Arabidopsis thaliana: one gene and its partner. The protein of the gene in region 2 interacts with the protein of the main gene of each other region in a pairwise test. Each region holds a gene or a part of one and is shown on either strand. Other genes may lie near its edges. The genes, in order: ZIM and PTAC14.

Region 1 (15,148 bases), 1.8 Mb from region 2:
ACTCTCCAAGAGATCTGTGGGCCAAGAAAATCTAGTTTCACAGAAAAGCTTTCATGTCAGAAACTACGAGATCACGGTTCGTTTTATTATATTTTTTGTTCAACAAGATTTTGTAAATATTGTTACTCTCCAACAAGATTTTATAATACAACTACTTCGTACAGTCATTTTCATTATTGGTAGTTTTTTAACAACTTCTAGATAATATCTAGGTCCTCCAAAGGGATGTTAAGGGAGATTGTCGCTTATGGATTGCCACGAACATGGCAGGTCCAACAGTTCTCCATTGGGGAGTCGCAAAGTCATCTGCAGGAGAGTGGTTGGTAAGATGTTCTTGCTTCTGTAGATATTCCTTAATAGAATCTTCTCAATCAGAGAATGATTTTTATAACTCTAAATAGATACCACCACCTGACGTGTTACCTGAGAAATCAAAATTTGTTCACGGAGCATGTCAAACACAATTTACCGATATGTCGAGCAGAGAACACTCTTATCAGGTGAAGCAATATTTTTACAAAGATTACCATATTTTGTTGTAAAGTACTTTTATCCTAATTTATCTGAATTTACTAACGCATCAAATCTTTTTCACATTGGAAAAGTTTATTGATATAAATTTAAAACGAGGTGGTTTTGTTGGTATCCAATTTGTAATATGGTCGGGAGGCTACTGGGTGAACAATAACGGAGCCAACTTCGTTGTAAACCTGAAGTCAGCAGACAGTACCAGTGGTAAGGTGAGTAAAGTCATCACACCATCAGTGGAATGGTAATGTTGGAATGCTCTAATCACTAGGGGAGTTCGCTTCTAAACATGCTTATTCTCCTCAGCTTGACGTGGATGAAAAGTATGTTCTCAAATGGTTACTTGATGAAATATCTGAGCGAGAGAAAGAGGCTGAGAGATCATTGATGCACAGGTAAGTCAAAGTATCTAGATCGTTATGAATCTGTATAAACTAGTTTTCCTTTTTAATAATGTCAGTGAAGTTTCTTATAAGCATAGCTTGGCAGGTTCAACATTGCAACAGAGTTGACCGAGCGTTGTAAGGATGAAGGAGAAGGTGGATGTATTGGTATAATGGTGTGGATGAGATTCATGGCCACCAGACATCTCACCTGGAATAAGAACTATAACGTGAAACCTCGGTAGAGCTATTGTTCCATTGGCTACTTTTGATAGTTGATCCTTTTTGTTCTTTCTTTTAATCAGACCTTTTCTGCAGGGAAATTAGTGAAGCACTAGAAAGATTCACCAATTTGATGGAGAAAATATATTTGCAGCAACCAAATAAGAGAGAAATTGTGAGACTAACTATGGCACTTGTGGGTCGTGGAGGTCAAGGTGATGTTGGGCAGAGAATCCGTGACGAAATCCTTGTTATTCAGGTATATAGTTCAAAATCTCTGCAACTAAAACTTTTCCTTGTCTTGTTAGAGTAGTTTGTCTTTGTACTTTCTTTCTTTTTTGTTTTAACATTTTCTTGTCTTTATTATCTTTTGTTAGAGAAATAACCACTGCAAATCCGGCATGATGGAAGAGTGGCACCAAAAGTTGCACAACAACAGTAGCGCAGATGATGTGATAATTTGTGAGGTAAAGATGCTTCCATTTGAAGTAAGATACTCACATTTAGTGATTGGTAAATAAGAGGAAGAATAACATCTCAGATAAAGTTGAAACTCCATTCTAAAACTCGCTACTTCTTAAAAAGCAGCTAACTAGCTAGTTCAGAAGTTTAGTTTCCTGTTGTAAATATCTGATGAGTTTATTTCTTCTGCCATAGGCTCTCTTGAACTATGTGAGATCTGACTTCAGGATCGATGCATACTGGCAAACACTACAGACCAATGGTCTCACAAAAGAAAGGCTTGCAAGTTATGACCGCCCCATAGTATCAGAGCCTCGTTTCAGAAGTGATTCTAAAGAAGGACTCATCCGTGACCTTACAATGTACTTGAAAACATTAAAGGTATACCACTTGCAGCCTAGTTTCGTTTCCTGATCCATTGAAGAATTCTTAGGAGCAAACTGTAATGGTTAGTTAGCTTAGTAATGATGAGAATATTTATACCTCTGGCCTCTATTAGATAATAATTGCTTTGCAATTTCGACCTACATTACAGAACAATATTTTGCTCCATTTTCTACTTTCAGTATCTTGAATTTCTAAACAAACTGTTTGTACCTGCCTCTGTAGGCAGTTCATTCAGGTGCAGACCTTGAGTCTGCTATTGATACGTTCCTTTCTCCATCTAAGGTAATTAGTTCATGATTCAAACCGTCACTTTGATTTTCTTGGGACACATATCATCATCAAGAACGGTATTTATGTTAAGAGTAATACCTCATCCTTTCATTTTCTTTTCCAGGGTCATCATGTCTTTGCTGTCAATGGTTTATCACCAAAATTGCAGGTTCGATTTTCTCATACCATCTTCCTAATAACATATTTTCATACTATTATACATTATATATAAAGACATCAAAATGTCTAACAGAGTGGCAAATTCCATTGTATGGTAGGATCTACTGAATTTAGTTAAGAGGCTTGTTCGCGAAGAGAACACTGAGCCCCTAATAGAGGTTTTAATAGCACATCTTCTTCATATTGCCAGTCTTCTTCCTCTTATTGTTGATTTATTTTATCCTTATGCTTGCTTTGTTTTTATGTACTTCTGCAGAAGTTAGTTGATGCTCGCATTCAGTTACACCCTGCACTACGAGCACCTCGCACGAGGGCAAAAGATTTACTATTTTTGGACATTGCGTTGGAGTCATGTTTTAAAACAACAATAGAGAAGAGACTCATCTCTTTAAACTTCAATAACCCACCGGTAACTGTTATCTCTGTAGTTTTTAACTATTTACTTTCCTTTGTAGCCAAATATTAGTCTTTACACCAAAGAGTAAGGTATGGATTGATCTGCTTTCCGTGAACAGGAAATTATATATGTCATCTGCGTGGTGCTTGAGAATCTGTGCTTATCTATAGTTAACAATGAAGAAATCATATTCTGTACAAAGGCATGTTATTTCTTCTCCCTTCGTTTCTCTTTCAAAGTTTGACTCTCAATGTTCTTGTATGAATATTAATTGTTATTCTCTTTTGCGCCCAGGATTGGTACCGTGTCAGCGAGGCTTACAGACCTCATGATGTTCAGTGGGCATTGCAAACAAAAGCGGTCCTTGACCGTTTACAACTAGTACTTGCTGATAGATGTCAGCATTATTTTACAATAATACAGCCTACTGCAAAATATCTTGGTCAACTGTTACGTGTTGACAAGCATGGGGTACATTGCAGTTAAACTCCAACTTCTTCTTTATGTAAGAAAGTCTAAAAGATATATTTATTCATTTGGGTTTCTTATTTTTTACAGATTGATGTTTTCACTGAAGAGGTTATAAGAGCAGGGCCAGGAGCCGTTTTATCAACTCTTGTAAACAGATTTGATCCTTCTCTAAGGAAAATCGCGAATTTAGGCTGGTAAGATATGTTTTACCATGAATTTGAACTAAAGAACTATATTTAGATTTGTTCCTTGTAGAAGGTGATTACTGAACCCTTTATCGTATTTTTGCTCTAAACCAAAATGGTTCTGGTTGAGAAGTTGGCAGGTTATCAGCTCGGCTGATGCATATGGGTTTGTGGTTTGTGTGAATGAGTTAATTGTTGTTCAGAACAAATTCTACTCGAAGCCAACTGTAATTATTGCAAGTAAAGTCACAGGAGAAGAGGAGATCCCTGCTGGTGTTGTAGCCGTGCTGACTCCTAGTATGATTGATGTCTTGTCTCATGTATCTATTAGAGCAAGAAACAGCAAGGCATGTTATCATCAGACAATGCTGCAAAAAGAAGAACTAGGATCTTCACAATTTTTTCAGGGAACTCATCTTAAGTTCGTCTGATGCAGATATGCTTTGCTACATGCTTCGATCAGAATGTTCTCAGCAATCTGAAGTCGAAGGAAGGGAGAGCAATATCTATTCATACAAAGTCTACTGGTTTAGTTATCAGGTAATCGAACTCTTATTATGTCACTGTTCTTTACGCTTAGAGAAGGAGTTTCTAATAACTCTGAAATTATATCACTTGCAGTGATGGCAACAACTCTGATGTCTCTGTTCGTCATATTTTTATTTCCTCTGTTCCACGGGGAGTGATCTCTAAGGGGAAGAAGTTTTGTGGCCACTATGTGATTTCATCTAAGGAATTCACTGATGAAAGGGTAAATAAGAATCAAATACATGAAGATAAAAGTTTTCATTTTGAGAATACCATTTGGATTTTCATTTCTATGAGATATTTTAGGTTGGCTCAAAATCATACAATATAAAATTTCTACGTGAAAGAGTTCCATCATGGATCAAGATACCTACCTCAGCTGCTCTTCCATTCGGAACATTTGAGAATATACTCTCAGATGATTCCAATAAGGTATAACCTTTAATCATTTGCTTCTTTCTGGAACTCTCTAAAAGTAATCCAAGGGACGGCTCCTCACTGAGCTTGCGATCCAGAAGTCTCTTAAATAGATTTGGTGATCCATCGCTTTTCAGGATGTAGCACGCAGGATTTCTGTCCTTAAAGATTCTCTTAACAGAGGAGACCTGACAAAACTTAAGTCCATTCAAGAAGCTATCTTACAAATGAGTGCTCCAATGGCTCTGGTAATAACTGGGCATATAATTGTCTTTCTTTCTCTCTGTTCATGTTCCATGTGAATCTCATGTTGGGTTTTGAACTCTTTGGTAGAGAAATGAACTGATCACAAAATTGAGAAGTGAAAGAATGCCTTATCTTGGTGATGAATCAGGCTGGAACCGCTCCTGGGTGGCAATTAAGAAGGTAAGAATCTCTTTGAACGTTTGTGTACTTATAGTTAAAGGAACCAAGTGTTTCCCTGATCTCCACATCTGCATAGGTCTGGGCTTCAAAGTGGAACGAGAGAGCTTATGTCAGTTGCAAAAAAAATAAGCTTGATCATGATGCGGTCTGCATGGCTGTGCTGATTCAAGAAGTCATTTGTGGCGATTATGCTTTCGTCATTCACACAAACAATCCGGTCTCTGGTGACTCTTCAGAAATATACACAGAGGTTAAAGAACTATCTCCAGTTTCCACACTTTTGAGTAAATAATATCAATAACTCAGTTATCAAGAAACTGGCGTTCTCAGATTGTGAAGGGTTTGGGAGAGACCTTGGTTGGAGCATATCCAGGACGAGCAATGAGCTTCATCACCAAGAAAACAAACCTCAAGTCTCCAACCGTAAGAAACAAACAGATCCTAGTTGGCTCTTAAGTTGAGTTATATATTAACCGAGTGAGTGGGGAATTTGGGTTGTACAGGTGATCAGTTACCCAAGTAAGAGGATAGGTCTGTATTCTAAACCCTCAATCATATTCAGATCAGATTCAAACAACGAGGATCTCGAAGGCAACGCAGGCGCTGGACTTTACGACAGGTTTGTTTTGTGTGTTTCTCTCTGTTTCCGTCTTTTATTTCGGAACTCAGAAGCTGAAAGGGTTAAGTGCTGCAGTGTGATAATGGATGAAGCAGAGGAAGTAGTGGTGGATTACTCAAGGGAGCCACTAATAATGGACAAATCCTTTCGAGTGCGTCTATTCTCAGCGATTGCAGAAGCTGGAAATGTGATAGAGTCAATCTATGGTTGTCCTCAAGACATTGAAGGTGTTGTCAAAGGTGGACATATCTACATCGTCCAAGCTAGACCCCAAGTTTAAGCTCTCTTTTTCTACTTGTACCATTCCCTAAGTTTTCAATCAAATCTTATAATTACAAGCTAATCTTTTATATGTTTGCTATTACACATGTAATATTTCTACATCATGGCACACTCCTGATACAAACAAACATGATTCAAAGTTTCATAATAAATGATTGTGTGATAAAAATCCAAAACTCGTTTAAACGACATCGTATGAAGGGTCGCATAAGCGAAGAAGGATATAAAAACAGTCGCCGAGAAAGTCTCCCGCTATGGATACCGTTCTCATGGCTACAACACCACCAATCAGATGTCTTCATGCTTCAATTCCTACGGTGTTCCGTTCGCCGGCGATTTATCAGGTCAGCTGCCGGAGCTCCCAACTGTTTTCCTACCGTTCGACGACTATGATGAGCATGTGTTTTCTCAGACGGTCCGATTTGAGATCTCGCTTTCTTAGTACTCCGAAAACCACTTCTCCGATGAGACGACCTCGCTTTTCCGTCGGTGCTTCTACGGAGGAGTCTTCAATTCCTTCTAATCGGAACCTTATCGTGGCTAACTCCGTCGTAATCGTAGCTTTAGCTGTAGCTAATCGCGTGCTCTACAAACTCGCTTTGGTTCCCATGAAACAGTACCCTTTTTTCATGGCTCAGCTCACCACTTTCGGGTAACTTAAACAAGAGTGGCTATGAAAGAAATTGGGCAGTGAAGGAGCCTAGCTTAGATTATGATAAATGAATGGTTTTTGGCAGCTACGTCTTGATTTATTTCACCATTCTGTATACGAGGCGCCGTCTAGGCATTGTGACGAATGAAATGATGGATGTACCCAAATGGAGATTCGCAATCATTGGTTTTCTCGAAGCTCTTGGTGTTGCCACTGGCATGGCTGCAGCAGGTATCCCATTTATAGCATGATTGAAACTTTACATATTTATAAGGTTACATATGGAGTGATTCCACTCTCTGTTGCAGCAATGCTTCCTGGACCAGTTATACCCATTTTGAATCAGGTCTTTTGGTTTTATGATTATCTTCTTGCTCATTTGTTCTCATGGGGGTGTTGAACTCATGCCTCCCAATGTTTGGCAGACATATTTGGTGTGGCAGCTGCTTTTTGCTCTTCTTATTTTAGGCAGGAGGTTTTTGCTTAACCAAATTGCTGGTTGTCTCCTTGTGGCTGTGGGGGTTGTGGTGGCTGTTTCAAGGTATTCCTTCCTCCCTCTTCTCTTCTTCTAAAGTTACTTTTATCTTCTTGGATCTGGATGCTTGATCTTGGGGTAGAGAAATGTTTGTGTATCCGTGGTCATTTACAGATTATATCAAGAGAGTGCTTTCAGCTCTTACAATCTAGAAAACTAGTTTTCATGGACCAGAGTCACACCTATCAAATTCACCATGCTAAATGAATGGAGACGGCTCTACTTTAGTATTTATCATCCACATAGCAAATAGAAGGCCCTGATTCTAGAGAAGCTTGTGTGATAGTGATACTTTCATTTTTGTGAATGCTGACTGTAACTCATCTGCAGTGGATCTGGTGCAGATACTACGCTATCTGGAATCGGTTTCTTATGGCCTGCTGTATTGGTAGCATCCGCTGCTTTTCAAGCTGGTGCATCTATCATAAAGGTGAAGGTCGCTCTCTCTTATGAGTTGTGAACATTTCTATTTTATTTTCTTTTGCCAAGACCCAAGTTGTTAAGTGTTTTGTCTGTTAACAGGAATTTGTTTTCAATGATGCTGCAAAGCGTCTTGAGGTATCTCCCTTATCCCCTGCATCAAACAGGAATGCTTTTCTTTCGAAACTTTGCTGAATTAACTCTAAGATTAACTGGTGGATGCAGGGAAAGTCACTGGATATATTTGTGGTAAATTCATTTGGATCTGGATTTCAGGTATCTACTACTACAATATCATGTTGTAAATGTATTTGTTACAGCCAAAACAATTAGACATGCTTCTCCATTACATCAAGAGTACGTGAAGAAAACATTTGAAAGCTGCTTTCCTCTGTTATTCACTTATTATCTCTCTCCTACTTGAGAAGAGTTTTTGTTTTTTGGTTTAGTGTTACGGATCACTGAAGCTGTGCTTGTGCAGGCTCTTTTTGTGTTCCTGTTGTTGCCTTTTCTCTCAAACTTGAAAGGCATTCCATTCGCCAGCCTTCCTTCATATCTAAAAGATGGTGCCGGATGCTTCTTCAACACTGGAGCTAAGATTTCTGGTTAGAGACCATTCGACACTTGTTTTTTTTTCCTTCATTGAATTTTATTCACTGCTAAAACTTTGTGATTATCCATTTGAGAATTTCAGGCTGTGATGGTGCCCCTATACTCCCACTGCTCTATATATCCACCAATCTCGCTTTCAACATCTCATTGCTCCATCTGGTGAAAATATCTTCAGCAATCGTTTCCTCTCTTACCATGATGCTCTCAGGTCCATATTTCTATCCTTCCATGCAACGCCTCTTAAGTGTCACCAAATACTCAAACCCATATGAGATAATACTTTTGGTGTTGTTGTAGTGCCATTAGCGGTGTACATAATGTCAAAACCATTGCCGTATCTACCGGGAGGATCAAGCTTGAGCTCAAATTTTACGATGGGGTGTATAGTTCTTGTCCTAGGTCTTCTTCTCTACAACATTCCCACTACTCCAACTAAACAACACACCAAGACCTCCTAACACACTCACTCACCATTCATCCTTTTTGTGCATTACTTTTTTTTTTGTTGATAAACCAAATTCGTGTAATTTCCCAATTTTTTTTCCTTTGACCATCAAAGATACATAGAATATTCTCAGATATTTTTTTTACGTGAAAAACTAGCTTAAAGAAAAAAAAAAAAAAAAAAGAATAACAAGAAGAGAAATTTGTGATTGGTTAAAAATCCAGTAAAGTAGAGTCGTCGGGTCGTCTCGGAAGCAGTGCTGCGATTTTACCTAAAGTCACCTTTTTTTTTTACCGTCGGGTGAATTCGACGACGGTCCTAATCTCGCCTCCTCCACACGCGCCGATCACCATCTCTCTCTGTAATCGCTCTTCTCGATGTCAACTATTTCCTTCTTCCTTTGCTCTTAGGGTTAGGGTTTATTTTGTTCTTTCTCTATATCCTTCAATCAATGTGAAAAAAAAGCTCTCCCTTTTGGCAGTTTCCGATGTTTGGTCGCCATTCGATTATCCCAAATAACCAGATTGGTACCGCCTCTGCTTCCGCTGGTGAAGACCATGTCTCTGCCTCCGCTACGTCTGGTCACATTCCTTACGACGATATGGAAGAAATCCCTCATCCTGACTCTATCTATGGTGCTGCCTCCGATTTGATTCCCGATGGCTCTCAATTGGTTGCTCACCGATCCGATGGCTCTGAATTACTTGTTTCTCGGCCACCGGAAGGGGCGAATCAGCTTACGATCTCGTTCCGTGGACAAGTTTACGTTTTTGATGCCGTTGGTGCTGACAAGGTAATTCTACTCTGTCCCTCTTTTGTTATTTGTGTGAAGTCTCGATGGATGCATCTGAAACATAACATCTGATGGCTTAGGGCACGTAACGATTGCCTCTTTTGCACCTTTGTGCTTTTGCTAGTCTTAACCAAACTTTGGAAATTGATTTCGTAGGTGGATGCTGTGTTGTCGCTGTTGGGTGGTTCTACTGAGCTTGCTCCTGGTCCGCAGGTGATGGAACTAGCTCAACAGCAGAATCATATGGTAACTTTGTTATTTGTGTTCAAATTCTGCTTAAATTGTCACTTCATCTCGATTCCACCTTTTTCAGTTTGGTGTTATTTTTAGCCTGTTGTAGAATATCAGAGCCGCTGTAGCCTTCCGCAACGGGCACAATCCTTGGATAGGTTTCGGAAGAAGAGGAATGCTAGATGTTTCGAGAAGAAAGTAAGATACGGTGTTCGCCAAGAAGTTGCCTTAAGGTCAGTGTGTCAGTCTTGAGTTTTACCAATTTATGCCAAAAGCTGTTACTCTGAACAAAATTCTTTCACCTTTTCTGGGATAAAAATTTAGTATTCTTGTATAGCTAAACTAAAAATTTTCTACTCTTCTGGCTATGCTCTGGTTGCTTAACTACTTCCTCACTTTCGTGTGCTATGGATTGAAAGGAAATCTGTTCATATTCAACTAGTTTACTATCTAGCTAGTTTTCTTTTATTTGTTTCAAGAAGTTTGGTGACCATGTAGGTGTTTATGTAGAGTAGTAGGCTTCATTGTCCATGGCTTGCTGTAGTATTTGACAATATGGTTGTAGTTGAGCAGGATAGACATCTGAGTCTTTGTTAGTGTGATAAGTAGCTTTTACTGGAAATAATCGACATGTCTATTTCAATAATAAGGGATAGGATTTGTCACCTTCTCTGCCTCTCTGACCTTTGTTAGTGTTTATCAGAATGGCACGTAATAAAGGTCAATTCACCTCTTCAAAGATGACAGATGGGGCTTATAACTCTGGCACAGATCAAGATTCTGCCCAAGATGATGCCCATCCAGAAATATCGTGAGTTCTTTCTCTTCTCTGCCAATTAACTGTTCCTGCAATTTTTGTTTTCCACTAATGTGGGACATTTTGTTTGCACTTATTTTAAACGTGAGTGTGTCTTATGTAGGTGTACTCATTGCGGCATTAGTTCCAAATGTACACCAATGATGCGACGTGGCCCTTCCGGCCCCAGGACTCTCTGCAATGCCTGTGGACTTTTTTGGGCTAACAGGGTACGTATGAAAGACAAAGTGATGATAAAGACATATATAATATGTTCACTATGTTCAGTTCATAAGATACTGATATAGCCAAGAAGTTTGACATTTAGAATTGTTCAATTCTTGTAGGGTACATTGAGGGATCTCTCAAAGAAAACAGAAGAGAATCAGTTGGCTTTAATGAAACCGGTAAGCTCTTATAAATATCACCCTGTGTTTCTGGTTGGTTTATCCACATAAGGCGGAGCTTGAATCATCATCGCTTATTTGTAGGATGATGGTGGGAGTGTTGCTGATGCTGCTAACAACTTAAACACTGAAGCTGCAAGTGTTGAAGAACACACTTCCATGGTTTCTCTTGCCAATGGGGATAATTCTAATCTGTTAGGTGATCACTAAATACTGTGATAAGAATCAGAAGATAGAAATCTTTGTAGAATCAGATGGTCTTCTCTATGAATTTATCTTTTCACCATCACATGTATTATAGAAACCGTAACCGAACCTCAAATCAAATACCATATCAGATGTCTTTGGTTTCAGAGTTTGTTACTATGCTTGCAACCATACCCATTGACATGGTGTGGTTAAAAACGTTAAAGTCGATTCTGAGGGGAAAAAAGTTTACTTATTACGTTACATCCTCAAAAGATATGATCAGATTAAAAAGACTTATCAATGTCTCATACATAAATCAAATACTAATCTACTCAAAACTTGAAAGGTGATTTCTTCTTCTTTTTGGTTGTATTGACCAACTAACAACACTACGTATCAAAATATCCGAAAAGATTTTAAAAGTTTCATTGGAATGGGACAATGCATCTTAGATCTCAATCCTAGTTTACAAGATTAGTTTATTAGAGGATGTATGCATACGCATCATATACCAAAACCATGTGGATTACTAAATCGGGCTCAGGACCACTAAATAGATTAGATTATCTACAAATCACATTATTGTGTACATAACAAATAGAATACATTATATAAATCACACAAAAATGTATCGAAGAAAAGAGAACCGTCGAACCAGTTTGATGGTAATCAACTAAGATAATGTTTTTTTTTCTGATGTCAATAGTGTTTGTTTATGAAGGAATTTATGATGAGATTATTCGAGAAGGAGTCGCTTTAAGTGACCCGATCCTCGTGACGACTCGTTGCTCTTTCTTTCTTTATTATAGATTATAGTTGTTCAAACAAATGAAAAGTATCTGAGACGAATAAATTAATGGGTGGTCTGTTTCTGTACTATAAAGAGGTCCATGCATGTACCATATCATCTTATTATGTACTATTAAACAAATAGATTAATGATTATATAATGTTTTCCGATATATTGAAATTAGTTTATGAGTCACGAGTTAAATCTGAAGGCTTCACCAAACCTAAAGTTAAAAGTCTCAAAACAGTTAAACACTCTTGTGATATCATCCCTGTATATAATCTTTAATGAAAACGTAGAAAAAAAGATTATTTGCAACCAGAAAACATCTGAACAAATATCCATTTCTCGTGGTTTTATGTTAAAACATTTGTCGTGTTGGGAAATAATTGAAACTTTTATTTTCCAACATTGAATTTTTCTTTATGTTAAAAGTGATGTGAACTTTGTATAAAATGAAGGAAAATTTAAAAGCACTCCCCTATATGCGATGCGAGAAAAGGGAGAGAAGATATGTATGCACTTGTTTCTTGTCACGTTCCGTTTCCACAAAATCAGTAGATATGCCAGTAACTGTGTTATCTTCTTCTTTTCGTGCGTCTGTATCCAGGAGACATATAAATGATGCTGAATTTCCTAACTATTTTTAATTTATAAACATGAGAAGCGTTAAATGGGTAGCAGCAATCAAACGTTTGGTGCTTAAAAGCGCTTATTTGAAGTATAAACAATTTGATATTTATAAGATAAAACAGCATTACATATGAAATATCATGATTCATAACTATATATGCAAAATTTGAAAACTTCTAAATCCCAAAATTACACAAAGATTAACTAAACTACATTATAATTTATAAATAAATAAAAAGATTAGTATCAAAACTAAAACGTTAAGAAATATCATAAGTGATGATTAGACGACAGTCAAAATGTTAAATTTCATGATGAAAAAACAAAAAAAAAAGAGTAATTTGTCCAAATACAATCAGCTGACTATATATTTTGTCAAATCATATATCATATATACTAAAACTAAGAAAAAGATAACCATCAAACCAATTCAATTTATATCCACCTACATATGACTTTGATACATTTTTTGTGTAGTTTGATCAGTGATAAGATTTTCAATCCTCTATAGTAATAAAAATTGCTAATTTCGATAATTTAAGAGATAATTACAAAACCAACAAGCACCTAGACACCCCTAAGATCTAGGAGAATGCATCCTCCTTAGTCATCACTTCCTTATAAAGTAAAACTATAAAAACTGAGATCACGAGAGAAACCGAGAAAGAGAGCCAAGAAATGCATGAGTTAGGATGATAATCCACGTGTCACTATCCTATTGCATGAAGAGTATACGTGTAAGCTCGTCACATAAAGTTTCCCTCTTCTTCTTCCTCAGAGTTTTTAATTGGCCATTTTATTACTTTTCCATAAATAATAATATAAAAATTCAAAATATTTAATTCCCCATTTGCTGTTGTCTTTCCTTTTCTTCTTCTTCTTCTTCCTTCCTTTTCTCGTGCAATCTCCAACACCTTGACTACGCTTCTTCATCCCACCAACAAAAACCCTTTCTCTATCAAAACCAAACCACCGTTAGTTTTTCTTTCCCGGTGATACGTTTAGATAGCTTCTTTTTTTTTCCGGTGGTTAACGTTGACGATTGACTACTTCAATTCTAAACGGATAAGTATTAGATAGCTTCCTCTTCTTCTTCTCCAGTATCTGGCGACGAATTCAACTAGAGATTATTTTCTCTTTTTCTTGTCTCCTCTTGATCGTTTGTTTTTGTTTGTATCTGGATTCAATGACGGGATTTGGTTAAACGAAGAAGATTCATTTCTCTGTTCGTTCGATCTGTAAATTTTTGCTTTCAGAGTGAGATTTTAACGAAATGCCTCACCGGACTACTTACTTCTTTCCGCGGCAGTTTCCCGATCGTGGATTCGATTCGTTTTCGCTTAAGAATGATCACGACAAGAAGAAATCGTCGTCTAACGTTGGAGAGAGTTTTGGATTTCAAAGAGATAATAAATCTAATGGAGTCGGAGAAGATTCTAACAAGGAGAAGGAGAGTACTGTGTTCTCCTCTAATCCTCTGCTTTCTAAAAGCTCAGCCGTTTCAGATCTCTTTAGCGATGATCGCAAGTCGGAGAAGAAGCATCAGCAGCAACTAGCCGCTTTCTATGAGTGGTTGGCGGAGAAGAAGGCTAATCTCTCTAGGTCATCATCTACTACTACTACTCATGGACGCGGGGTGAAGCCCACGCGCTTCTCTATGTCTAGCGACGCCGATGAGGAGAGAGAGCTTCTGTTGTCTTCTCCGGCTGATCCCGCTCCGCTTCCTGCTACTTCTTCGCCGGATTCTATCATTGATTCGGCTAGGACGGTTAACATACATGAACGAAACATTGATCGGAGCTTTGACAGAGAGGTTTCGCTTCCCCGAATGTCGAGTGAGAGCAGCTTCGCTGGAAGCTTCTTCTCCGGGACGACGGTGGACGGGAATTTCTCCAATTTCTCAAGTCATACAGACGCAAGGGAAACTTCGACCACCACGCTTGTCTCAGTGAACAAAGAGGAAGAAGAAGTTGAGGTTAGGGAACAGGGCAAAGAGCAAAGCTTAGCGCAGAAGTCAAGAGAAGGCTATTACTTGCAGGTCACGCTTGCTAAGTGGCTAAGTTCTCAAGCAAACCTAGCATGTGAGTCTGTTCATATACAGAGCACAGAATCTATCTCCTACCGTTTTTGGGTATGTAGTCGTACGTATGTCTCTTTTAACTTTTGTCTCAAATCTAGGTCGGAATTGTGATTTTTATTCTGTTTTTTTTTTTCTTTCAGGTAAGTGGTTGTTTATCATACAGTGACAAGATATCAGATGGATTTTACAGTATATTAGGAATGGATCCGTATCTTTGGTTGATGTGTAACAATTCTGAGGATGGCAAACGAATTCCATCTCTTTTGTTACTCAAGGAGACTGAGCCGAATGATACATCAATGGAAGTGGTTTTGATAGATAGACGTGAGGACTCACGTCTTAAAGAACTGGAGGATAAGGCACATGAGCTGTATTGTTCTTCAGACAACATGTTAGTGCTCGTCGAGAAACTTGGCAGACTTGTTGCGGTCTATATGGGGTACGTACACTTCTTGTTCTTGTTTCCACAAGTATTCTTCATAGTTGTGCATATATATATAAGATGTGTATGCTGAGGTTATGGAGCTTTTAGGGGGAATTTCCAGGTGGAGCAAGGTGATCTCCAGAAACGATGGAAACTGGTCAGCAATAGACTCAAGGAATTTCGGAAATGTATCATTCTTCCTATAGGTAGTCTAACAATGGGCCTTTGCCGGCATCGTGCCATCCTATTTAAGGTGAGCCATGAACTTACATAGTAAAAGAGAAAGCTAGACTGTTTTAAACAAGAAACATTTGTCCAAAATATTGGATATTGACTTGCTTACCATGACTATGCAGAAATTGGCTGATTACATAGGTTTACCAT
Region 2 (15,964 bases):
AACATGAGCATCGAAACAGATTAAACCCCATTTGATGACAGAGTTTTTTCAAACACAAACAATACAATGAAACTTTGGATAATAGATAAGAGGAATTCGAAGAGACAGAACAAAGGAAAACGAAGAGACAGAGCAATGGAGAAAAAAGTTTGAAGAAAAAATAAAAGTCTTGCTGTTTTTCTCTATTCAATTTTTTTTTAGATTTGATGTTATTAATATCATCCACCAATATTAATTTAGGTAAATAATATTACCTTTTGGAGAAAGAAATAATCCAAATATAGATTAGTCGATGATTCATGTAACACTTTAAAAACTTGAAAAAAGGTTCATAGGGGAGAAGAGAGACAGTGTCAAACAAAGAGGGAGAGCATAATTATGGCATTCTCTAAATTAAAGTTGACTTATTAAATTGATACATGAATACACTCTCTATTTTTTTTTCACATTTACTGATAAGTGATAACATTAGAAGCACTTTTACATTGTTCTTTTCTTTGACTCGAATGGATTTTTTTAAAATTAATTAAAACCATTGGATATGCTTCATTGGTTTGTATTCAATCCTTTGGGATTTTAGTGTTATGTCAAAGATTTTGAGTTATCTAACTTTTTACAACAAATTCATTAATTATATGTAACAGAATCTGTGCATATCCCATGATTATGAAATGAAATCTACATAAGATTAACCATGCATATAATGCTATTTCTAGAAAAATTACTATAAAAATACCAAATGAAGTTCCATTGATTCATTGTACTATATATGGTAACTTAAAGTAATAAATTTACAGTCTTTGACTCATGTAATTAGTTAAAATATAATATGGTAGCTATTTTTATAGCCTATCAGAATCAAAATAAATTTAGATTCTTTGACTAATCTGACGGGAAAGGTTAAAAAAAAACAGATAGAGAGTTTTGGCGTAAATTACACCGGAGTCAAACTTTGTTCCAATTTAAAACGAACTTAACTAATTTAATTCTATCCAAAAGATATGTGTATCTTGCTTAAGTATAGAAGATAATTCACCTAAATTTTAGCATTTGGTAGTTTTTAACTTTCTGTTAATGTTAAAAAAAAAAAAAAAAAAGTAGTGCTTCTTTTTTTACTGTCTAAACTTACTAACATTTTCCAAAACAACTAAACATAGCAGATAGCGTTCCATATCATTTATGTAACCCAAGGTCTAGGCCCAAGCCCAAGCCCATATGAGGGCGATACACTGAAATGGCAATGTATGTGGGGAAAACATTGTGAAGCTAAGTCCGAGTAGTCACTTAACCGGAGATCGGAGACTCATCGTTGCAACAACAACAAATTTCAGAAGATCCGAAGACGAAACGATGCCTATAAGTGCGACAATGGTCGGAGCTTTGCTGGGTCTCGGTACCCAGATGTACTCCAACGCCCTCCGCAAGCTCCCTTATATGCGTCGTAAGTCGTCCACCAATCGAAAAATGCTACAACAACCCTAATTTTTGTTTTCTGATTTCGATTGTTGAGAAAATGCGATTCCGATTCATTGTGTTCTGATTGGATATTAATATATGTTAGATCCGTGGGAGCATGTGGTGGGTATGGGACTTGGTGCTGTGTTTGCGAACCAGCTCGTGAAATGGGATGTGAAGCTTAAGGAAGATCTTGATGTGATGCTCGCTAAGGCTAGAGCTGCTAATGAGCGCCGTTACTTTGGTATATATTATCCTCTTCTTGTTTTTGGTTTATCAGCTTCTCAAATTTTGCTTTTTTTTAGAAAAATTGGTGACGTTTTTGGTGTATGAAATGGTTGCAATGGTAATTGAATTCTCCGCAATGAAACTTCGCTCAAGGTTTAATCATTTGGAAGTTTTTCAATTGAGCGAATCTCTATGCAGGCTTAGCTTGTTGCAAATCTGTTTAGTCAGGCACTCTTATAAAAGTTAAGACAGTTTGAGCAATACAATTATTCCTTTGAACATGATCTCAATGAGTCTGGAAAGATAGATACTTTCGACTAGTTCTTTGGTTCTAGAGTTAGATAGGTTGCAAGGTGCCAGTACATATAAACTAGATGCGAATTTGAAGGGAACCACATATGTAAACGTGTCTCGTTTTAGGTAGTAAGTTGCTAAGCTTTCGCAAACTCTTCTTTGATAAATCTTGTGACTTATGATAAGTTCAAGAATCTCTGTTTGTTTATCACCATTGGCTATTGCATATTTGCGAGGGACTGGCAGAATTTGGTGTATTACATTTCTTGTTTTGTTGGATTGAATAACTTGGAATATTCAAACTTTTCCTTCTGTTTTTGTAATGCAGATGAAGATCGGGATTAATTTTGCGTGATCTTTGAAGTCTTCAGAAAAGAAATATCTTCCCCTGAACTCATCTCAAGTGCTTGTTTTGTCTGATCTTTCCTGTATAAGCGTTTCTTCTCCTTCTCTTTGACTTCAGCTCTGGAGTTCTTTTCATTCACTGTTTTCGAATATGAACCTAAAGATTTGTGTTTTCACAATCTGAATCTGTTTGTATCTGGTTAATAATGGCGAAATGATAAACCTTGCAATCTACCTTCTGTTATGAGAATAGAGTTTCAGAATCAGAATCAGAATCATTCTGTTTAAAATTTGGTTTAAGTTGTATTACAAGTACATGCAAAAGACAATAAGTGTTTTTGTAGCAGATGGATCAAGTTCGAAACAATCTTTGTACTGAAAGAAACCATGTCATCTATACAAAGCAGAAACAGAATTTCAGAAGAAAAAATTTAAAGTTGGCAGTTTTCATGTCTCCAAAGACATTTGCAGGTGTCAGTTTTTTTACAGCTTCTTATAACCGGCCGTTCTGTTGTTGTAGACATGGAGAAGACTATCACAAGCTTGCCTAGAAGATGGTCTCTCTTGGGGAGAAGTTTTTGTGCACTGAAGTGCAATCTCAAGCACCTGACAAGCTGCGTCTTCCTCAAATGGCAGAAGTGGCTTAAGCTTTGGATCTATGAGTTTATCTCTCGCAGAACCCGCTACTTCAAGATGTGTTTCAACCCATCTCACCATGTCCATCTCTGCACCAAACACTGAGTCGGTTGGCATTTTCCCAGTCACAATCTCCATCAACACGATCCCCATACTGTAAACGTCGCTCTTCTCAGTCGCCTTCAACGAGTAAGCATACTCTAGACACACAATTTCAAATCTTTAGATATTAAAACAGTGAATATGCAAGAAAGCTAAGAAAGAGAAGATGAGTACCTGGAGCAATGTAGCCATAAGAGCATGCAAACCAGGTATTTGAATCTGTGTTGGTATCACAGTTCTCAGTTAAGACCTTGGCAAGACCGAAATCTCCTAAATGCGCTTCCATGTTTGAATCGAGGAGCACATTACTGGATTTGATATCACGGTGAACGATAGGAGGAACACAGTCATGATGAAGGTACTCTACTCCTTGAGCCAATCCTACTGCTATTCTCAATCTTGCTTCCCAGTCTAAAAGCTTCTTCTTTTTTTCGAGCACGGGTTTGTCCTCATGAAGCCAATCCCAGATGCTTCCGTTCTTCATGTACTCATATATCAACAGATTCAATCCTTCTGACTTGCTGCTGCAGTAACCCATTAGCTTAACCAGATGCCTATGCCTGATTCTTCCAAGCGTCTTAACTTCTCTGCTGAAGCTCTTGTTTGACATGAGATCATCCTTCCAGAGAATCTTTTTCACTGCAACAGTCTCACCATTTTCAAGCTCCGCCTTGTAAACCTTCCCAGAGCCTCCTGATCCAATCATGAACTCCTCGCTTAGATTATGTGTAGCTTCCATGATGTCCTCCCACCTGATATCGGACTTTGAAGCTCCGTTTCGAAAGAGAGGCTTGTGTGTAGCTTGTGAAGAAGAGCTTGACGATGTGTACGCAGTGCTTCCATGACCCACTTTCTTGAAGAAATCATGCCTTTGTTTGAAGAAGAGAGCGATTACAAGTATCATCAAGCCAATCGCCGTCAATGCTGAGATTGCTGATATTATCACAACTGATCTGGCACTAAGACCTTGTTGCTTGTTATTACTTCTAACTCTGTTGCAGCGACTTAGTGGGCTTCCACAAAGACCTGTGTTGCCTAAAAAGGAATCAGCTGGCCATCTTGAGAACTGTTTCTTGAGCTTCCCTCCGAGGTTATTGAAAGAAACATTGAGATATCCCAAACTCTTCATATCCCCAACCGAGCCAGGAACTTCCCCTGTAAGCTGATTGTGAGAAAGATCAAGTGTTTCCAGCTTTGATAATGTCCCAATTGTCGAAGGTATATCTCCAGTGAAGTTATTGTAGCTGAGGTCTAAAGCACTTTGAAGATCCTGAAGCTGTCCAATCTCAACTGGGATTTCTCCTGTTAAGCTGTTTCTTGATAACCGAAGCTCATACAGCTTGCTGAGCTTTCCCATAGCTTGAGGAAGTGAACCTGAAAACTGGTTCTTATCAAGGTTAAGGACATTGAGAGCTCCCAAGTTACCAATCTCTTGTGGAATCGACCCATTAAGCGAATTTCCATCAAGAGACAACACAAGCAGCTTTGTACAGTTGAACAGTTCAGTAGGTAAAGACTCAACAAACTGATTCGAAGAAAGCTTGAGCTCTCCTAACTGTGAAAGTTTTCCAAGCCATGGAGGTATAGGACCTGATAGAAAATTGTTATTGAGATCGATGTGTGTCAGTTTCTTGCACAAGACGAGCTGTAGCGGAATGGTTCCTGTGAGAGCGTTGCTTGACATATCTAACAAGGACAGCTCGCGGATTTTCCCCAACGTCCAAGGGATTTTTCCTGTCAATTGATTCTTGCCTAACCTGAGACGATCAAGATTTTGAGAGTTTCCTAGCTCCAGGGGGATTTCATCTTCAAACCCGTTGTTGGTGACATCGAATGAGAGATATGAGCTCGAACCACATAATGGATGAATCGTACCATTGAGCCTGTTGTGAGAGAGATTGATTCTGGTGAGGTTCCTCAGACTGATAAGTGAATCAGGAAGATTTCCTTGAAGAGAATTGTTGTAAAGCATCAACTGTTCCAAGCCCTTTAAGAACCCGAAGGATGAAGGAATTGATCCCGAGAGCTGATTATCCGCCAAATCCAAGATGTTCAGTTGATGACAGTTACCTAAACTGGCGGGAAGTCCACCCACAAGCTCGTTCTGTCTCAAGTGAAGCAAGTTAAGCTCTTTTAATCTTCCTATTGAAGGAGGTATCTCTCCTTCGAAATGATTCCCGAACATATCAATCATCTTCAAGCTTGTGCAGTTTCCAATCTCCTGTGGGATTTCCCCTGAGAAACGATTCTCATACAGAAACAGAACCTCTAATTTTCTGAGTGCGCTGATCTCCTTCGGTAACTTGCCTTCCAAGTTATTGTGATACAACACAAGCCACTGTAGATTAGTGAGGTTTGATATCGAAGGAGATAACGTACCCTCCAAGGTATTATTGTGGAGATAAAGATCTGTGAGTTCGACTAGCTCAAACAATGCTTCAGGGATCGAGCCAGCGAGAGAATTGTTCGACAAATCAAGCTGCTTAAGCGATTGACATTTGCTTAATTCCACAGGGATTTCACCAGAAAGCTGAGTTCCAGACAAAACCAGTTGCTCCAAGTTTGTGTTGTTAGAACAAATGCTCTTTGGTAATGAACCAGAGAGATGATTGTTTGCTAGAACCAAATCAAGAAGCTGACTCATGTTCCAGAATTCTTCAGGTATCTCTCCGGTAAGATTATTCGCCGATAAATCAAGAGTTTGAAGATTTCCCAGATCAGCCAAACTCTTGGGGATAAGACCTTGAAGTTGATTTGCCATCAAGCTAAGATACTGGAGTTGGCTCATTTCACCTAATTGACTCGGTATCTCTCCGGTGAGACTGTTGTTCGCCAGGTTGAGTATTTCGAGGTTTTCAAGGCGTCCAAGCTCCGCCGGTATCGTCCCGTTGAGCATGTTCTCCGCCGCAGTGAACACAGTGAGATCAGAGCAGTTTCCTAACTCAGCCGGAATCGGTCCTTCGAGATAGTTATCTTGCAATATCAACGACTGAACTCGGACGAGACGACCGAGCTGACTCGGTATAGGACCGGTGAGTCTACAAGAAGCCAGAGCAAGCATCTGGAGATTCACCAAGTTCCCTAACGTCTCCGGGATATCTCCAACAAGCTCATTGTCTCCGATCCTTAGCGACCGGATATTAACGAGGGAGCCGAGCTGGCTCGGAATCTCGCCGGTGAGTTGGTTAGAAAAGAGAAACAGAGACTCCAAGGAAGTAAGGTTGGAGAGAGCAGTTGGGATGGGACCAACTAGATTGTTGGAAGATAGATCAAGGTGGATTAGGTTGTCAAACCGGCCAAACCAAGGTGAAATTGAACCGGTTAATCCTAAACCGGTAAGGTTTAGAGCAATTACACGAAATAAACCGGTATTGTCGCATGTGACTCCGGTCCAAGAACAGTAGTTGATGTTATCAGAGTTCCATTGTCGGAGAGGATCGTCTTCTTGTGGATTCGTGACCAAAGATTTCTTCACCTCGAGAAGAGTCTGAAGATCGTTGTTGATGATACCCGGTTGACCTAAACCGGAAAAACAGAGGATGAAGAGGAGGAGAAGAACTAGTGGTTGCATGTTTTCTTCTTCGTCGTCTTATGGTTTGGTTTACTGAGGAAGAAGAATGGAGGTTTTATGGCATTTGTGTGATTCTTGTTGTAGAGAATGATGAAGAGGGAGAAAGATGATTGGTCATTAGAAACGGTGCATAGGGACTCTATCTCTGAGTTGGAGAAGAGTAAATGCAGAGAGAACAAAGTTTCTTTCTCTCTCTCTTTTTTGTGTTTCTTTTTTGCTATTTCACTGTTTTATTGAGAGATCTAGAGAGAGAGGAGAGAGGGGTCAAAGAGAGGTCAGAGGAGAGATGTGGGGAAATGGAATGGGAAGGCTCGTAGAATGAAAATGTTTCGGCTTTTAGCCTTTTATCAATCAATGGAGGGGCAAAGGTCAACGGTCGTACTATGATGTTCGTGTGTACATTTATTCGTCCGTGGAGACATGTTATATAATTAAAACAGTGCCTAAACTTTGACATAACATTTGGTCTTCTTAGGAAAGAAAAAAAAAAAAACATTTGGTCTTCTTTAGAAACCACAGAATATATAAATAAATAGTGGAGTAGTACACTTTACATTCACATCAAACTTGTAAAATTATAAGCTTATAATAAGTACATTCTATTTCGTTTGATCAATTAACAACTTATGACATTTAGATTCGTGGATGTTGTTCCACTATATTCTAATTAAATTCTGTATTGAAGTTCCGATCGATTCATATCTCTTGGACTCTAACGACTTGGAGTTAAGTTAGAAAAGATTTAGAGGATTCCACAAATGATAAATGATCCCAACAAGTTTTCTCATTTCATACTTCCATTATCTATTTATTATCTATCAAACACATGATTACTACTCTGAATGTATAGAGTGTCAACTCTACACGATTCCTTAATTTTTCTTTTTAGTGTCTTTGTGATACGCAATCATTTGATTTATCAATTTCGTGAGAAGTTAGAGTTCTTTGTTCTCCTATTTCTTTTCGACAAGTTTAGTTGTTTAATTTTATCAAAAAGAAAAGAAAAGTTTAGTTGTTTATTAGTAATAGACCTTTTATTAGTTATATAAAGGAAAAGTAACAATAATGAATAATAGAAAATAAAATGGTGATGCATGGCTTTGACCTTGGACAAGGAGAAAAGAGTGGTTGAGAAAATGACTTGGTTGAAGTATATATTTTTGGCTTTGGTTATGTCACAAAGTGTGTTAGCTTCTCATCACTTCAACCTTTTCACGACAAGGAGAGCAGTTGTGGTATGATCGTACATTAACATGGCATCATATGATTATGCCCTATATTTTATTACCAAGTCAAACATAATTCTTATTAAAATTTGCAAACATAATTTTTTCATCCATCTTTTTCTTTATTACCCAAATAAGTTCGGTGATACTTTCCCAATTTATATGTTCATCGAAGTAAAGAATCAACTCGTGAGTTTTGAATAATTTCGTGTGTTTTTTGCCTTCAAAAATTGAGGTTAATAATAGATATAATATGTTGTTGTCGATTCGGAATCTAGCTTGAATTTAATCACACCTATCTAATTATAGGAAAAAAGGAATAATACATCGAATAATATTGTCATTTTCATAAATTGTTATTATTATATAAATTTTGGTTGACTGTAATAACGCTAGATCGAATCAAGTTTACGTACAACAACTTGTTCGATAATTGATAATCTATAATTAAAAATGTTAATATTCTACTGAACGAGATTCTAAATCCAAAAGAATGAGACAAAGGAATTATCTTCGATCCACCAAAAAGATCAAGATGCTTATTTTTTTTTATTTTTTTTTGTCTATTGTTTGGTTGATTTATACTTTAATTAATCTTAAATTCAAAGGAATAATTTCATTATGCATGGCAAGAATTATGAAACGCATAGTGGTCTTACTTCAAAAATAAAATATTCAACATATTGAAGATAATTATTAAGAATCAAGTTAGTCAATGTAAAGTATCAAATAAGTAGCCAAAGGTAAGAAATAGATTGCTTATGGTTCTGTATAACTCAGAGTAGGTTTGTTTGGTTTGGACCGTAACTTTTTTTGAAAATAGTAATGTTAGACAAAGAGTAGAAGAAACGCAATATGATTTGATTGATTAGTGTAACCACAAGGTTAATAAATAGTATAAGTAATAATCAATTATTGAGACTAATCAACATTATAGTTCGGCGTAAGAGACACAATTACCCTAAAACATTTGAGACACTAATCATGCTTAGGGACTAAAAACATGAACATGAATTAATCAAAAGAGAAAAAAAAAACACAGATGATTCCAAAGCGTTTGTTGGCTAATCAAACTCATTAAAGCAGCCAAGAAAAGAAGAGGTTATGATTTGTTTGTGATTGCGATTAAAACAAACTAACACACTTAGTCTAACTGTTCCATACAAATACATAACCTTACACTAAACAAAAAAAAAAACAGGAACCTTTCAATTACATGGTGCAGTTTCTAAGTAGCTCAAGGGAGTGAGCACCAAGTATGAATCTCACTCAGCTCATAATTATTTTTTGCTTGAATCAATAGAGTAACCGTTCTTGATAGATGTCAAGTGCCTTGATAATTTTTCCGATGAACATCTTTCTGTGCATTCTATACTTAACCGCTGTTGCAAATGTTGTCCTTGCTTCTGACATTGAATCTGTCACAACAACAAGAGGGAAAGCTTAAGTTTTAGTATATGAGCGATAATAGATAATAACACATTGGTGTATATATCTTTAGTGTAATACCTAGCAACTTCTGGTCTTGCTCTGCTGTTGTGGGATATTCCGCAAGCATCTTTCGACATTCATCTTGCAATTCTTTAACTGCTTTTCTTTCCGCACTCGGTATTGGAGGAAGATCTATGTCTGACCAAGTAGGTAATGTTCTTGCTGCAGCGATAACTGCTCCATCAACAAAAGTATCGCCCCTCGATAACTCGCCTGCCACAGATTTAGGTAACATTGGTGCTCATTTCTCCATCTTTTGTCAAGGAATAGAGAGGAAACAGAAGAAAAGGAACTTACTGTCATGGTAATATTCTTCAGGAAGACCATAAATATTGAAGACCGATAAAAAGGAATTTAAATGGATGCGAGAATCTCCAGAGAACTTTATAGCATCCCACGGATTCTGCAGCAGACCAGAAAAACTGAATAAACGAGAAAACTTGCAAAGGAAACATAGTTTGTGTAAGATGAATGTGATTGTCGTAAAAAGCATTACCACAGGAGTTGAGAAGCCGTATCTTTCCATAAGCATGTTGTTTTTCTGGCCTGGCATGTAATTAATCGTCATCTGTGAAAAGCATTATAAGAAGATAGATAAAGCAGTGAAGTGAGGCTGACACTTAGGAACATTTGAGTCTCTTACCTCTTCGCCTTTCTTAATGTCTTGACCAGCATTTGACATAACCTCCAGCATGCGATCTTTAGGACGCCAATGTAGGAAACAGTTTGGTTCAAATGAGTGGTTTAGCATGTCTGCAGAGAATGATCAATCGTGAGATTCTTATTTAGTTCCTCAACAAAAAGTTCATTGATACTAAATCTTAATTTATCAATAACTACACAACATGCTCTTCCTTACCAGCATAAGGAATCATCATATTTAATTCCTGAACCAAAGCACCGACCCTAGTTTGCATACTGATGCATCGTGTCTGTGCCATACTAACCGCCCATATGAATCTTTCTGGATCCTCGGCAAGCCTTTTGATTTTGAGAGGAACACCTGAATGCTGAGACGGAATACAATTTGCCAATGAAAAACAAAGCAATAACCAAATGTCAAGATATACTGGAAACACATATATAAGGCCTCATTACCCAATTCTTTTCCCAAAAATCTAGGATTCGTTTCTGTTGTTGTCTGATAGTTGAAACAAGATCAGGATCTTGAAGCTCCGCAAGGTCTTCCTATAGAAAAACACACAGAATTAGATATCATCAAGCATTAGTTTAAAGACACAAGTAAATGTGACCAGTTTCAAATGGCAATCATATCAATTCAATCCACCTCTGTAGCTAAAAGCAAGCTGCTGCACTCATCAGCAGCCGGCAGGAAATCGCCATAGAGCCGCCAGAAGTGATCATCTCGATCAAAAGAGAATAACAGAAGACACGCTAATCTGATATCCCAATCAATCTGTAAGCACAAATGTGAAAGGACTTTGAGAAAGATAAGAACTTTCGAGTTGATGATATCGAAATAGCACAAATGTGTTACTACCTCAGGATCAGTCGAGTTAATGATATCGAAAATAGGATGACCAATTGGTACAATATCAGGGAAAAACATCCAAGGGTGCTTCTGTCTAATGGTTATCATCAGTTCAAGAGGAATCTCCATAATCACCTGCAGAGAGAAAAGAAAACAAAATAATCTAAAGAGAAGAACAAAACAAAAAGTTGTCAACTTTTTAACTAAGAAGACTGACTCTAGCTCGACGGCGAGGTTCGATATCCTTAGAAGCATAGACACCAAAACCATCTGGACCTTCTTTAAACTCAACTCCATAAGCTCTCACACTTCGAACATAGCCAATTTTGTAGAAATCCGGATCTGCTGTCTCCAGCTAGTGAAGAAACAAAAGACAAAAACCCTAAATCAATCTCACATATGAGGGAAATGCACAGAATTGTCTAAAGTTACTGCCGTTAGAACTCATTTGTACCCTACATCAATCTCACAGATGAGGGCAATGCACAAGATTGTCTAAAGTTTCTGCCTTAAGAAGTCCCCTATATCAATCTCACAGATGGAGGCAATGCACAGAATTGTCTAAAGTTACTGCCTTAAGAACTCATATGTACCCTAAATCAATATCACATATGGGGGCAATGAACAGAATTGTCTAAAGGTACTACCTTTAGAACTCATTTGTACTCTAAATCAATCTCCCAGATAGGGGCAATGCAAAGAATTGTCAAAGGTACTGCCTTTTAGAACTCTATAAACCCTAAAACACTCAAAACTGAAAATCCTAACCTCGGACGAGGAAGATTCTTCGGAAGCAGGAGATTGAAACAGAGGGAAAGGTTGTGTCTCAATAGACGCAACTTTGATGGGTCGTACACCATTTTGTCTGTCTCTTAATAAATTGCTTCTGGGTCTTGGTGCTGACACAATTCCGTTGCAGAAACCCTTTGTCCGACCGGAAAAAACATGAGGAGTACTCAGAAAATTCAGACAAAGACAGACACACACACACACACATGACATAGAAACATTAGGTGATACAGAGAGATAAGATTAAGAACCTGAGGTTTGGAGATAAAGGTGTTGGTCAGGAACTGAAGAGAGACTGAAGAAGCCATTCCTCAACAGAAGAAAATGGGTTTAGCAGAGGGAGACGAAGATCGTTATCCTTTGTTTTCAAGATTTTAACTCTTAGTTTACGATATAATTTATTTGGAATAATATGTTGCAAGAAGCTTTCATAGCTCAGTTGGTTAGAGCACCCGTTTAGTAAGCGGGAGGTCTTGAGTTCAACTCTCAATGAAAGCAATATTTGTTTTATTTTCTTCAAAAGTCTCTTTACATCCAAATTATTTATTTTTTTGCCATGAAAATATACACAACTCTATCTCACTCTTTTATTTTTACAGTATAATTCATATGTACATTAATTGATCTCAAACATTTCTTTGTGTATGACAGTTTTGGTTACTTTGGTCATATACTATTAGAGTGTAAAAGGCTCGGCTTCTGATGGAACTTCACGAGCTCTTTGGCTCTCAAGTGGCATATACTGTGACATGATCGTCATAATCTCTGAGTCCATGTAAGACTGTTAATAGGAACACCAAAGAAAAGTTAGTTTGGTAATCCTAAAACCGTTATTAAGTACAAAAATGCTTTTGTGGAATCAGAAAGAGTAGTAGTACCCTGAACCGGTATTTGTAGAATATATAACCAGCTAAACCGGCTACTGCAACGATAGCCAGTATCAAGAATGTGAGCCACCATGCCGTTTTGGATCCATATCTCTCTGTAACAAACAATCATCAATGTATATTAATTAGATACTGTTATGGAATTTGAGTACTCTTAAATCTTGATTGATAAAATTTTACCTATACAAGTATCTTGATCGTTTATGTAAAGCCGGTCACCAGAACAGCTGCATTTGTATCCACCCCATGAGTTCTTGCATCTGCAACCGCTACATTGACATACCGAACGCTCTTTACATTCGTTAATATCTGCAATAGAGCCAAATCAGAAAACATAATTACATTGTTGGTAATATGATTATGTGGTTTCTTTCGAGATTTTAATCGATAAGTTAAGAGTTATGTACCTTCACACGTCAAACCGTCGCCTTGGAAACCTTCAGGACATTTGCAGCCAGTAGATACAGAGTCCTAATTTTTCATAAATAACAAAGAGATGATTGAACTGAAAACAAGAACTTTGTAAGGGAGGGTTTGGCTTATGACAAGAGAATCACTAAACTGAGCAAGCAGAGAAAGTTAAGCCGTTCCTTGTGTCAGACCAGCAACCTCCATTGTTCATAGTACACCTCGCAGGCCCATAAGCTGCAAAGCTCAATCACAAACCAGAGACTATTCAAGAAACCGGTCTCAACATTTGAGAGCTATGTTGTGTGAAATGTGTGAACAACTTACGTGTACATGAAGTGTACCCGTCTCCTTTATATTGAACACCTTTTACAACCGGACACTCGCAGAGTCTTCCTCTGAATGTGTCCTGATCAAACAAAAAAGATTCAAGTATTATAGGACTAGAAAATATCTCTCTAGATTTTCACATTTTCTCTAGTTTTCAAAACAATTCCAAACAAATTGATACTGATATTCAATATAGTGGTGAGATGTGATGTGGTAAGCTCGGTTTTACGACATACTTGACAAGCAGTGATGTTTGCTTTTGTATCCTGCCAGCAACCACCATTGTTTTCAAGGCACTCATTTGTCTCTAGACCTGTGTTTAAGCAAATGGCAGGCTCCGATGTTTCATTAAAACCAGCGCATATCGCCTTTAAAACCGCGGTTCTCTCCAATCTCCCTTCACAATTGCAACCAATAACAACAGAAACTTCAGCATCTTCATAAAGAGAGAGTGAAACTGAAAAAATATCAAGTACCAAACCTCGATATTGAGCGTTATTGATGACTAATGTTGGCAATATCGTAACATCTCCCCGGTTTCCTCGGCCAATCTTGAAATAGTTACAGTTAGTAACCAAACCTCTGAAATGTTTCTTCAAAACTCTAAATAAAGATAGATTAAGAAACTAACCTGAGATACTTGCTCAGTTCTCAGAACTTGGTTCTCTGTATCAGCCTCAGGATCACCAATGCATTTCTTGATCTTCTCAATAGGTAAATCTGAAAAAAGTCTTAAAGATTCATAACCTAAACAAAGAAGACTCTCTTTCTTTAAAATCTAAAAAGGAAAAGAAAAAAGATTCTTACTCAGAGATTTGATGACACTCTCAGCACAATCTATGCTGTATTTCTTCTCCTTCATCGAACATCGAGAATGAAAATCGGTAACATAATCCCACCAAACCCAAGGCCTGCTACTCTCATTCGCAACTCTATGCACACAAAGCTGTCTCAGATTCTCAAGCACAACATCTTTCCCTTCATACCCTTCTCTGAAATTATCCTCAGGGTCAGGAGCACAATACCTCCCATGGTTTATACACTGAGACTTACAATGTGGACTGTTTATAAACTGAAAAGGGCAAAACCAAGTAATATAATGCGGCGTAAACGCGGTATAACCGCCTTTTTCGAGTATCTGAGCATGACCTTTAAAGTTCTTGACAAAGTCCATCTGTTCATCACACCGTGCACCACACTCATCATTGCTATTAGTCCACAGCTCATATTCTACTCTCTTATCAGGATGAGGCACAGACTCTCTCCAATCTAGTTTTATAACTATGTTTTTCCCTTTCTGAAACCCTTGTCTTAAGTCATCTCCAAATGATTTATCGATTAACACCGATGGGATTGTTAGCTTCTCTATGAAACCATCCGCATCTTTGCTCTCCTCTGGTGAATCCATTGTCAACAATGGCTCGTCTACATTATCCGCCACAAGAACTGCAGCCGCGCCTGCTTGCTGCGCGTGCCACGCTTTTAAGGCAAAGTAGCAACCTAAAAACATCCAATAATGGAGCAAAGATTACTTGAGAGATTAAACTTTTAATCTTTCTTTGTAAAAAAAATATATCTTTCTGCTCAAAATGTATTTTTGCAGCATAACCCATAAAGTCCTATTGGCTAATAACATAGCAGACTAAAGTTTAAATCTTTGAACTCAAACAAAACAACAGTAAATGGACAAAACAGAGGTTTTAACTTTTAAAGATGTTTTTAACTTTTTTACCTCCACGATCAAGAAGCAGAATAGTGGGACGAGGAAACTTGGGCTTGAAGGTTTTACCAAAAGCAGAGCATCCATCGGTTTTACTATCCGGATAAACCACTGACCCGATTAAAAACCCACCGTAATCGGGTAAACCGAAATTGGCTATCGAGCCGTCGTGCTTCGACCTCATCTCCTCTGGATTCAGCACGCTTATGCTTTCTTTCTCCACCACAAACCTAGCCTCGACGACCATAGCGATGATGGTCAACGCCGCGAGGAGAAAGGTCAACGAAGCTCTCCCGTTGACTAAACCCATCTCTGAAGAATCCACCAAGAAGAGTTTGATCGATGATAACCTTTCTGGTACTATTTCCCGGGGAAATGAAGGAGAGATTCAGAGAGAAAAATCAAAAACAGAGGAAAAGTTAAAACAGAAAACTTCTGTGGAACTGTTTCTGATTGAAGATGATAGCATACTATAGTTTATATAAATAACAAAGAAACGTCAAACTCAAAACATAATTTTAGAAAATGGAAAAAATTTGGAAGATGTTAGACTTTTGTTAAATTTCTACTTGTTTTTTTTTTAAATTGGTTGGTGGTATTAGTATAGTAGGAGACTCGATCAAAAGCCTAGACTTTGAAGAGATAAACATTGCGTGTATAAACAAGATATATACTTAGATTCTTATTTTTTCTAATTATTTGGATATATCCTTTTAATTATTTAATTTGTTTTTGATAAATATCAAATTTTAATTATATAGAGAAAGAAACTAAAAATTTTAACCTAATTCATTCATAGGATTCGTTTTCTCCAATCTGAATTCTGAAAACCTTTCCTATTCCTCTTAGAATCTGGTCATTGTAGTTTCAAAACCCTTTTCCTATTCATCTTCTAACTCTCTTCTTACCTTTATAAGAGGAGTTGTTCATTGCTCAATATTATTCAGCTACTTGTAATTTCGTATTTAGGGTTTTAACAGGTTTATTCGG

Evidence for each region.
Region 1: the proteins of PTAC14 (region 2) and ZIM interact in binary tests that used the Arabidopsis thaliana proteins (3 or more experiments, as listed by UniProt).

Annotation. Positions count from the first base shown.
Region 1 is NC_003075.7:12,636,877-12,652,024, forward strand, and holds ZIM (GATA-type zinc finger protein with TIFY domain-containing protein), read left to right. Parts: upstream 1-8,687; 5' UTR 8,688-8,908; coding exon 8,909-9,214; intron 9,215-9,370; coding exon 9,371-9,460; intron 9,461-9,544; coding exon 9,545-9,678; intron 9,679-10,148; coding exon 10,149-10,256; intron 10,257-10,365; coding exon 10,366-10,471; intron 10,472-10,588; coding exon 10,589-10,672; intron 10,673-10,732; coding exon 10,733-10,858; 3' UTR 10,859-10,988; downstream 10,989-15,148. Other genes in the region: PWD (phosphoglucan, water dikinase), read left to right, coding at 1-76, 213-323, 402-500, 606-740, 835-923, 1,018-1,152, 1,230-1,392, 1,511-1,600 and 18 more; CLT2 (CRT (chloroquine-resistance transporter)-like transporter 2), read left to right, coding at 6,012-6,409, 6,495-6,640, 6,718-6,755, 6,835-6,950, 7,275-7,374, 7,467-7,502, 7,590-7,640, 7,846-7,969 and 2 more; AT4G24480 (Protein kinase superfamily protein), read left to right, coding at 13,534-14,391, 14,481-14,779, 14,873-15,017, 15,121-15,148. UniProt on the Arabidopsis thaliana protein: Transcriptional activator that specifically binds 5'-GATA-3' or 5'-GAT-3' motifs within gene promoters.
Region 2 is NC_003075.7:10,874,887-10,890,850, reverse strand, and holds PTAC14 (plastid transcriptionally active 14), read right to left. Parts: upstream 12,035-15,964; 5' UTR 11,938-12,034; coding exon 11,881-11,937; intron 11,826-11,880; exon of another isoform or gene 11,765-11,825; coding exon 11,609-11,764; intron 11,196-11,608; coding exon 11,058-11,195; intron 11,011-11,057; exon of another isoform or gene 10,976-11,010; coding exon 10,850-10,975; intron 10,766-10,849; coding exon 10,637-10,765; intron 10,537-10,636; coding exon 10,447-10,536; intron 10,359-10,446; coding exon 10,208-10,358; intron 10,102-10,207; coding exon 9,992-10,101; intron 9,917-9,991; coding exon 9,845-9,916; intron 9,752-9,844; coding exon 9,646-9,751; intron 9,562-9,645; coding exon 9,367-9,561; intron 9,276-9,366; coding exon 9,154-9,275; 3' UTR 8,799-9,153; downstream 1-8,798. Other genes in the region: AT4G20150 (excitatory amino acid transporter), read left to right, coding at 1,351-1,441, 1,562-1,699, 2,306-2,322; GSO1 (Leucine-rich repeat transmembrane protein kinase), read right to left, coding at 2,806-3,158, 3,235-6,631; VSR7 (VACUOLAR SORTING RECEPTOR 7), read right to left, coding at 12,306-12,410, 12,508-12,611, 12,697-12,825, 12,924-12,987, 13,079-13,161, 13,252-13,333, 13,491-13,651, 13,736-13,805 and 3 more. UniProt on the Arabidopsis thaliana protein: Essential for chloroplast development, especially for thylakoid formation. Involved in plastid gene expression, probably by maintaining plastid-encoded RNA polymerase (PEP) activity.